2 linked regions of the Daphnia pulex genome follow. The protein of the gene in region 1 purifies or fractionates together with the protein of each later gene. This does not show direct contact. Links are inferred from orthologs where the notes say so. Each region holds a gene or a part of one and is shown in the gene's direction. Other genes may lie near its edges.

Evidence for each region. Proteins that work in one complex are often made in the same cells at the same time.
Region 2: the proteins of zygotic DNA replication licensing factor mcm6-B-like (region 1) and cell division control protein 45 homolog purify together in Drosophila melanogaster (affinity purification with western blotting; 3 studies listed by BioGRID, with this or other methods). This does not show direct contact. The link is inferred for Daphnia pulex from reciprocal best matches to the Drosophila melanogaster genes Mcm6 and Cdc45.

The regions. Positions count from the first base shown.
Region 1 is NC_060017.1:7,927,100-7,930,856, forward strand, and holds the start of zygotic DNA replication licensing factor mcm6-B-like, read left to right. Parts: upstream 1-1,059; 5' UTR 1,060-1,163; coding exon 1,164-1,255; intron 1,256-1,328; coding exon 1,329-1,472; intron 1,473-1,538; coding exon 1,539-1,803; intron 1,804-1,861; coding exon 1,862-2,010; intron 2,011-2,067; coding exon 2,068-2,323; intron 2,324-2,384; coding exon 2,385-2,681; intron 2,682-2,746; coding exon 2,747-3,728; intron 3,729-3,757. UniProt on the Drosophila melanogaster protein: Acts as a component of the Mcm2-7 complex (Mcm complex) which is the putative replicative helicase essential for 'once per cell cycle' DNA replication initiation and elongation in eukaryotic cells.
Region 2 is NC_060026.1:14,328,077-14,331,833, reverse strand, and holds the start of cell division control protein 45 homolog, read left to right. Parts: upstream 1-1,227; 5' UTR 1,228-1,314; coding exon 1,315-1,365; intron 1,366-1,442; coding exon 1,443-1,595; intron 1,596-1,660; coding exon 1,661-1,798; exon of another isoform or gene 1,799-1,858; coding exon 1,859-1,948; exon of another isoform or gene 1,949-2,007; coding exon 2,008-2,202; intron 2,203-2,245; exon of another isoform or gene 2,246-2,265; coding exon 2,266-2,327; exon of another isoform or gene 2,328-2,386; coding exon 2,387-2,560; intron 2,561-2,621; coding exon 2,622-2,753; intron 2,754-2,817; coding exon 2,818-3,078; intron 3,079-3,152; coding exon 3,153-3,291; intron 3,292-3,357; coding exon 3,358-3,563; intron 3,564-3,627; coding exon 3,628-3,704; intron 3,705-3,757. Other genes in the region: NAD-dependent protein deacylase, read left to right, coding at 1-151, 211-353, 426-576, 646-700.

The DNA.
Region 1 (3,757 bases):
TCAGACTGCGGGGATTCGTGGCATAGTGGGATAGAATCCTGTGTTACTTCCGGTTCTTGTGACTGGTGGAATTGGCCATTATTCTGAAAATCTTGGTAGATGACGTAATCAGTTAAAGGTGTGTACGAACGATTCTCCAGTGAAGTTGGCTTGGAAGTTGGCAACAGGGTTGAATAAACTGGGCCAGGGATTACGATTTGATCCTTATACACACGTTTCTGGTTCACGAAGAGTTTGATATTCATTCGACGACCGCCCAACTTTGTTCCGTCGTAGAAGAGGGCTTTCCGGGCATGATCTGGCTGGTGGAAATATATTGCGGCTTTGCACATATAGTGGCCATCTGCGTTATGGTGCTTTGTAAGACAATCGACCGGTCCGACGTATTTTTCGAAAAAGTTGACAATTTCTTGCTCGGAAGTCTCACGAGCCAAATTGGTGATCCACACCATTTCGACATCTTTCACTGCTTCAATCGATTCCTGAAGAACAATTTCCTTTTGGTTTGTCATTTTCAAATCGTCGTATGTTTGACTTTTTGAGAAAACACTCTAAACTGAGCATGGTCATTGTAAGTCATGGTGTGAACTTATATGGGCACCGGGATCCGGAAAAACATCTGCAACTACCTGGCGAGATTTATTTTCTGATTTATAAATTGAACGCATTAGTTAACGAAAATGATTTCCGTCTATTTACAATTTTGAAGTTATTACCCATATTATTCATTCAAATGAAATACAAATTTTCCCTTAAATAAGAATAATAAACCAAATATAATGATCGAAAATTGATAATCAGTCAGAGGATCAGTAAACAATCCGCCAGGTAATTATTATTAGGTATGTCGGTATCCACTAATTTGGCCTGCAGGCCTGGCAAGAGACAAATATACACAATAAAAAAATTTGGTTAGTTCAATACATTTTTCTGTAAACATTTTATTATTTTTAAAACATTTTTAAAAAGTCGAAAACTCGGAAAATCACATTTGAATTTCAGATTTTCTTTGTTTTTTTTCTTTGTGCCTGACAACGTCGCAATCTTTCTCATTGCCATTTTCGCGCCAGAATTTCGTTGTCTGCTCATTCTGCGTGTTTGTTCTTGCACGAAAAGTGGTGATCAAAGTTTTATCCCTATTTTTCCTTTGATTATCTTAAACTATGGATGTTGCAGGTGCTCAACAAGTACAAAATAAACTCAAGGATGATGTTGCTCAAAGGTGTCAAAAATTGTTCTTGGATTTCCTTGAAGGGTAAGTGTACAAAGCTGTTCATGAATGATTGATACATGCTTAGCTGGGTGATGCAAAAACTTTCTTTCTCTAGTTTTGAAGTTGATGGTGAAGTAAAGTACTTGGAAAAGGCTAAAGAACTTGTAAAACCAGAAAGAAATACACTTCAAGTCAGCTTTCAGGATGTCGAGAAATATAACAGCAATTTGGCTGTCACAATCGTGGCTGAATATTACCGGTATTGTTCCTTACTATGACATTTCTGAACAACTTGAACATTAATTGATGTCTTTTATACATTTAGTGTTTACCCTTTCATTTGCCAAGCTGTTTATTCCTATGTGAGAGATAAGGCTGATTTCAATGTGGAGAAAGAACTGTACATCAGCTTTGTTGATGTCAGCTCAAAATACAAGGTCAGAGACTTGAAGACAGCTAGCATTGGCTCGCTCTTTCAGATATCTGGCCAAGTTATTCGTACCCATCCAGTTCATCCAGAATTGGTCAGCGCTACCTTTGTTTGCCTAGATTGTCAAACAGTCATTAAGGATGTAGAACAACAGTTCAAGGTAAGGTAGAAACACATTTATTTTTATTCAAATTTTTTTTAATGATTTTATTTTGCAGTACACACAACCTTCTATTTGCCGCAACCCTGTCTGCTTCAACAGAAGTCGATTCATGCTAAATGTTAACAAGTCCCGGTTCGTTGATTTTCAAAAAGTTCGAATTCAGGAAACGCAAGCAGAACTCCCTCGAGGATGTATTCCACGCAGGTAACTTCAAAGTGTTGAATTACTCATGACTAGTAAAGTGTACGCCAATCTGTTTAGTGTTGAGGTTATTCTACGAGCTGAAGCAGTGGAAACAGCGCAAGCTGGTGATAAGTGCGATTTCACTGGAACTCTTATCGTTGTCCCTGATGTCGGTTCTATCTCTGTACCTGGTGCTCGAGCGGAAAGTGGATCACGGAAAACTGGTGAAGGTCCGGAAACTGAAGGTGTCCGCGGACTGAAAAATTTGGGTGTCAGGGACCTAAACTACCGACTGGCTTTCTTAGCTTGCAGTGTTACCCAAAGCAACCCCATGGTAAGTCAAGTTTATCGATAAAAATGATATTTAAATGGTAACCCTGTTGGTTTATTATTAGTTTGGTGGTAAAGACTTGCATCAAGAGGAAATGACAGCAGTTGATATCAAAAATCAAATGTCAGAGCAAGATTGGAACCGTATCTACAATATGACACAGGACGTTAATTTGTACGACAATTTGATCAAAAGTCTGTTTGCCACCATTTACGGAAACGACGAAATCAAGCGAGGTATTCTACTAATGCTCTTTGGCGGTGTTCCCAAAAAAACCGTTGAGCATACTACGTTGCGTGGAGACACCAACGTCTGCATAGTTGGCGATCCCAGTACAGCAAAGTCGCAGTTTTTAAAGCAGGTAATTTCGGCAACAGTTTTCTTCCTCCTTACTTTTATTGTTATTATAATTTCTTTTACATCCAGGTCGCCGAATTTACCCCTCGTGCAGTTTACACTTCTGGTAAAGCATCCAGTGCAGCTGGTTTAACAGCTGCTGTGGTACGAGATGAAGAATCGTATGAATTCGTTATCGAAGCGGGAGCACTCATGTTAGCAGATAATGGTGTCTGTTGCATTGACGAGTTTGACAAGATGGATCCTCGCGATCAAGTTGCTATCCACGAAGCCATGGAACAGCAGACCATCTCCATCACCAAGGCCGGAGTCAAAGCAACACTTAACGCTCGAGCTTCAATCTTGGCTGCAGCCAATCCCATTGGAGGACGATACGACCGAACAAAATCCCTGAAACAGAACGTGATGATGACCGCGCCCATTATGTCTCGTTTTGATCTCTTTTTCATCTTAGTTGATGAGTGTAATGAAGTCGTCGACTATTCCATCGCCCGTAGCATCGTCGATCTTCACAGGAGAAACGTTGAATCGATTGAACGAGTGTACCAGACTGAGGATATCCGACGCTACATAACATTCGCCCGTAAATTCCAACCGAAGCTCAGTAAAGAAGCGGCTGACTATCTGGTTAACGCCTACCGCCAACTTCGTCAACGTGATGGTGGTTCAACCTCGTCAGCCTCAAGGATTACTGTTCGCCAATTGGAAAGCTTGATTCGTTTGTCAGAGGCGATGGCTCGCATGTATTGTCTGAGTCTGGTCACAAAAGACCATGTTAAAGAAGCTTATAGGCTCCTGAACAAATCCATCATCCGCGTTGAAGAGCCCGATATTGATTTGGAAGATGCTGAACAGCCAGATCTGTCGGTAGAGGAAGAAGAAACGAATGGCGTTCCTTCCAGTGAAGATGTTGACAAGCAAAAGGGAGCTAGTGGTGAGTCGGTTGATCCCACCGTGCAGAAGAAAAAGATATCCATCACCTTCGAGAGCTACAAAGCTATTTCAAACTTGCTCGTTATGTATTTACGACGCCAAGAGGCCTTGGATGAAAGTAAGCTCGCCATCTAAAACGCTTGTAAC
Region 2 (3,757 bases), on another chromosome or scaffold:
TCACCCAAAATATTGATGAACTTCATCAAAGGGCTGGTTCAGTCAATGTCTTAGAACTGCATGGCAGTCTGTTCAAGACTCGGTGTCTGAAATGTAAAAAGATAGAACCCAATCATGACAGTCCCATTTGTGAAGCTCTTAGGGGAAAGGGGTAAGATTTTCCTTTTTTACTTATTTCAAATAAAAATCTAATTGTCTTACCCTTATTAGATCACCATCCCCAAATGAGGTTGGAGAATTGGTTCCAGAATCATTGTTGCCCAGATGCAAAGTTTCTTCCTGTGGAGGCCTTCTAAGGCCCCATGTTGTATGGTTCCATGAAAATCTGGATTCTGCCGTTCTCAAAAAAGCTGGTAATTAGTACAATTTTTTCTTCGATGTCAATTTTTTATGTGTCCTATTTACGTGTTTATTTTATTATCTAGATGAGGAACTTAATAGTTGCGATCTGTGTTTGGTCGTTGGAACATCATCAGTTGTCTATCCAGCAGCAATGTTTGCTCCCCAGGTTGCTGAAAGAGGGGTTCCCGTCGCGGAATTCAATATGGAAACTACTCCTGCTACTCATCACTTTGGGTATGAAACACCTAAACATTTGCATGTCGTAAAGTTCTTTTCATAACACGTTATTGACGTTTCTGGCAGATTTCATTTTTCGGGTCCTTGTGGGGAACTTTTACCTAAAGCGCTGGCACCTTGACGATCGTGCGCCCAACTGTTGAATTGCTACAGACACTACGGTTTATAAAGACCTACAGCTGATAAATTAACATGCTTGTGCATTTAAAGTCGTATTGTTTTTATTATTTGTAAAAAACTACATATGCGTATACAAAACTTTACTAGAATCCGTACGTGAAATATTTTAAAATATGCGAATATTTGATTACCCCAATAGTTGAATCTTTAACAGTTGCATCAGCTTTATCCACGATAATGATTGATTAAAATTAGATTTTTACATAAAGACGATTTATTCTAACAGAGAAAAATATCTACAAAATAAGTTGAAAACTTTTGGTTGGTCATTTGAATTTCGGATGCTAATTGTCAACGAAAACTTAAGTAAGCGTTAAAAAGAAGGGAAATAAAAAAATTAAATTTTTCATATTTTGTGTGTGGAATTCTTTGTTTGTAAATATAAAAATATCACGTGTGCTTAAAAAACGAACGAAAAAACAAAATCAATTCCTTTGTCTGTGTTAAAGGGACACCAGAAGAGGCTTCGATTTTGTTGTTAGTTTCGCGCCATTTCACGTACCGAATGAAAAGAAGAGTGAGGGATCAGGGAAAGGGTATTGTGAATGGCTAACAATGTTTCTCAGTGACCTCAAACGCGAGTTTTACGATGTTATATTGGGAAAAGTAATAATGAACGACTGATTTACCGATATTTTGTGTGTGATATAAAGTAATGTCTTTCTCATATTTTCTTTGTACAGCGTGTCTTGATATTTGTGAATTTCGACGTGGATGCCATAGCTTCATGTCGAATTCTGCAGTACCTGTTACTTTGTGATTCAATCAGCTATTCTATAGTCCCTGTGCAGAGCCAAAATGATCTCATTTCAGCCTACAAAGAGAGCTGTGAACAGGTGAAAATGCATTCGTAATAATATATATAGTGTTGAAGAAGTGAGTGTCAATATAATTTCTACAGTCGAACCACATTATTCTGATAAACTGTGGAGGAACTTTGGACATTGTAGAAACATTAGAACCATCAGAGGAAAAAATCTTCTATATTGCAGACTCACATCGGCCATATGATGTTTGTAACATCTACAACGATGGACAGGTAAATATCACTGTTTACTTTTTATAGCGAAAACTTTGTTGATTGTGTGCCATTGTTTAGGTTTGTATACTGGGAAAGGTAAATGAGAAAGAAGATATACCAACATATGAAGATATCTTTGGGAATGATGATGACGATGATGATGATGAGGTAGTTAATTAATTGGCATATGTTTAAATTTGAAACTGATAAATTTTTAAAATAATTAGGGCAGCAATCCTTCAGATGGAGAAGCAAATGGTGATGGTGATGATGATGAAGAAGAAGTTCGTGAATCTAAATCCAAACGTCAGAAATTGGATCCTGCTGAAATGGTTATGCGTCGTAGAGAAAAAAGGCTATGGCATGAGAAAAGAAAGGAGATTTTGTTTAACTATATGCAATTTTCTTTTTATTCATCGTCGGTAAGTTTAATTCAAAATCAAAACTGTATTCAACTTTTATTACCATTCATTTTCGTCGTTTAGACTGCTCTTCTTATGTTTGAACTTGCCTGGAAATTATCTAGAGACAGCAATGACTTGTTGTGGTAATAATTCTTTAAATTTTTAGCTGAGTAAGAATGTACATGGTTCATTGGTATTGCAGGTGGGCTATTATTGGTGTGAACGAACAGCAGCTTCTGGGTAAAGTCGAATCAAAAACCTCGGTTCTTGATAATGGCAAATTGCAAAGTCACATGATTCGATTGGCCCATTTATCGCAACACGGTGGAGAATCGACAGGAACCAAAGACGCACTATATATAACCCACGAAAAAGAGTAACATAATATTTTTGCTATTTAATTTACAGTAATTTAAATTAACTTTTTGTTTAAACAGTTTAAATTTGTCAATGTACCGACACTGGAGTTTATTGGAAAGCTTAAAATACTCTCCTCAAACAGCCAGTCATTTTCAACTTTGGACACTGAAAGGAGAGAAAAAACTCAACGAGTTTCTAGCTGAATTGGGGTAATTTCAGAATCCAAATATATTTTACTACTATTATTGCAATGTCTTTTATTATTGCTCACAGGCTTCCACTGTCTCAGTGTCGCCAAAAATTTAACTCTATGGATATCGAGCTTCGAAATGATTTGCGTGCCATTTTCCAGAAAAAAGTGGAAAAATACGACTTGGAAGACCTCGTTGAATACAGTTTTAATTCTCAGTATGGATTCCGGCCAAAGAATTCCGCCAGTGACTATGTCTACGCTCTTATAGCGTTGCTTGATTCGGCCGAAAAGGATAAAGATCCAGCCGATGCATTTCACGACGCACTGGAATGTCTTTCAAAGTATGCTTCTTAACCTCAAGTCATCTTCATAGAAAGAATCGTGATTGAGACATTGTTCCTTTCATATCTTTTAGCTCGAAAATGGATGCTGTTTATAAAGGAATCGAACTGGCCAAGCTTCAGCAAATGGCGATCGGAAAAGAAGTGCACACCTGTCTGGATATGGGTCACGTGATCAGCGCAGGACCTTGTTTGTACGCAGTTATCCAAGACGTAATAATAATGAATCGTATTCATCCCTGACACGAATAGCATCTAAACAACTTGTGCAACATACAGGGGACACCAGACGCCAAGTACTATGGTTATCCGCACAGTTTGCTCATGCTGGGACAGTTTCTTCTCAAAGCCCACATCTCGCGAGCACGAGGTCGTGGATTGAGAGCGAGAGAGCTTCCACTCATCATTTCAGCCCCATCGGCGTCTCGACCATCTCATTGCCTTTTATTGGGTTTGCCTCCTTTATCATTGGATTCCCCTAAAAAGTAAGTGCCTCATCTCCTAGAATTCCATTTACCGTTTCTTAACCGTTTGCAACGATTGTCACAGCTTGATTGGAAAAGCCTTTGAGCAAGCAGCTGAAAATACCCAAACAGAAATCACATCTGTATTTTTTGACTCCTCCGGTATGAGATTTGTGTTGCTGTAGGTAGCGATTTATTTACTAATTCGTTTTTCT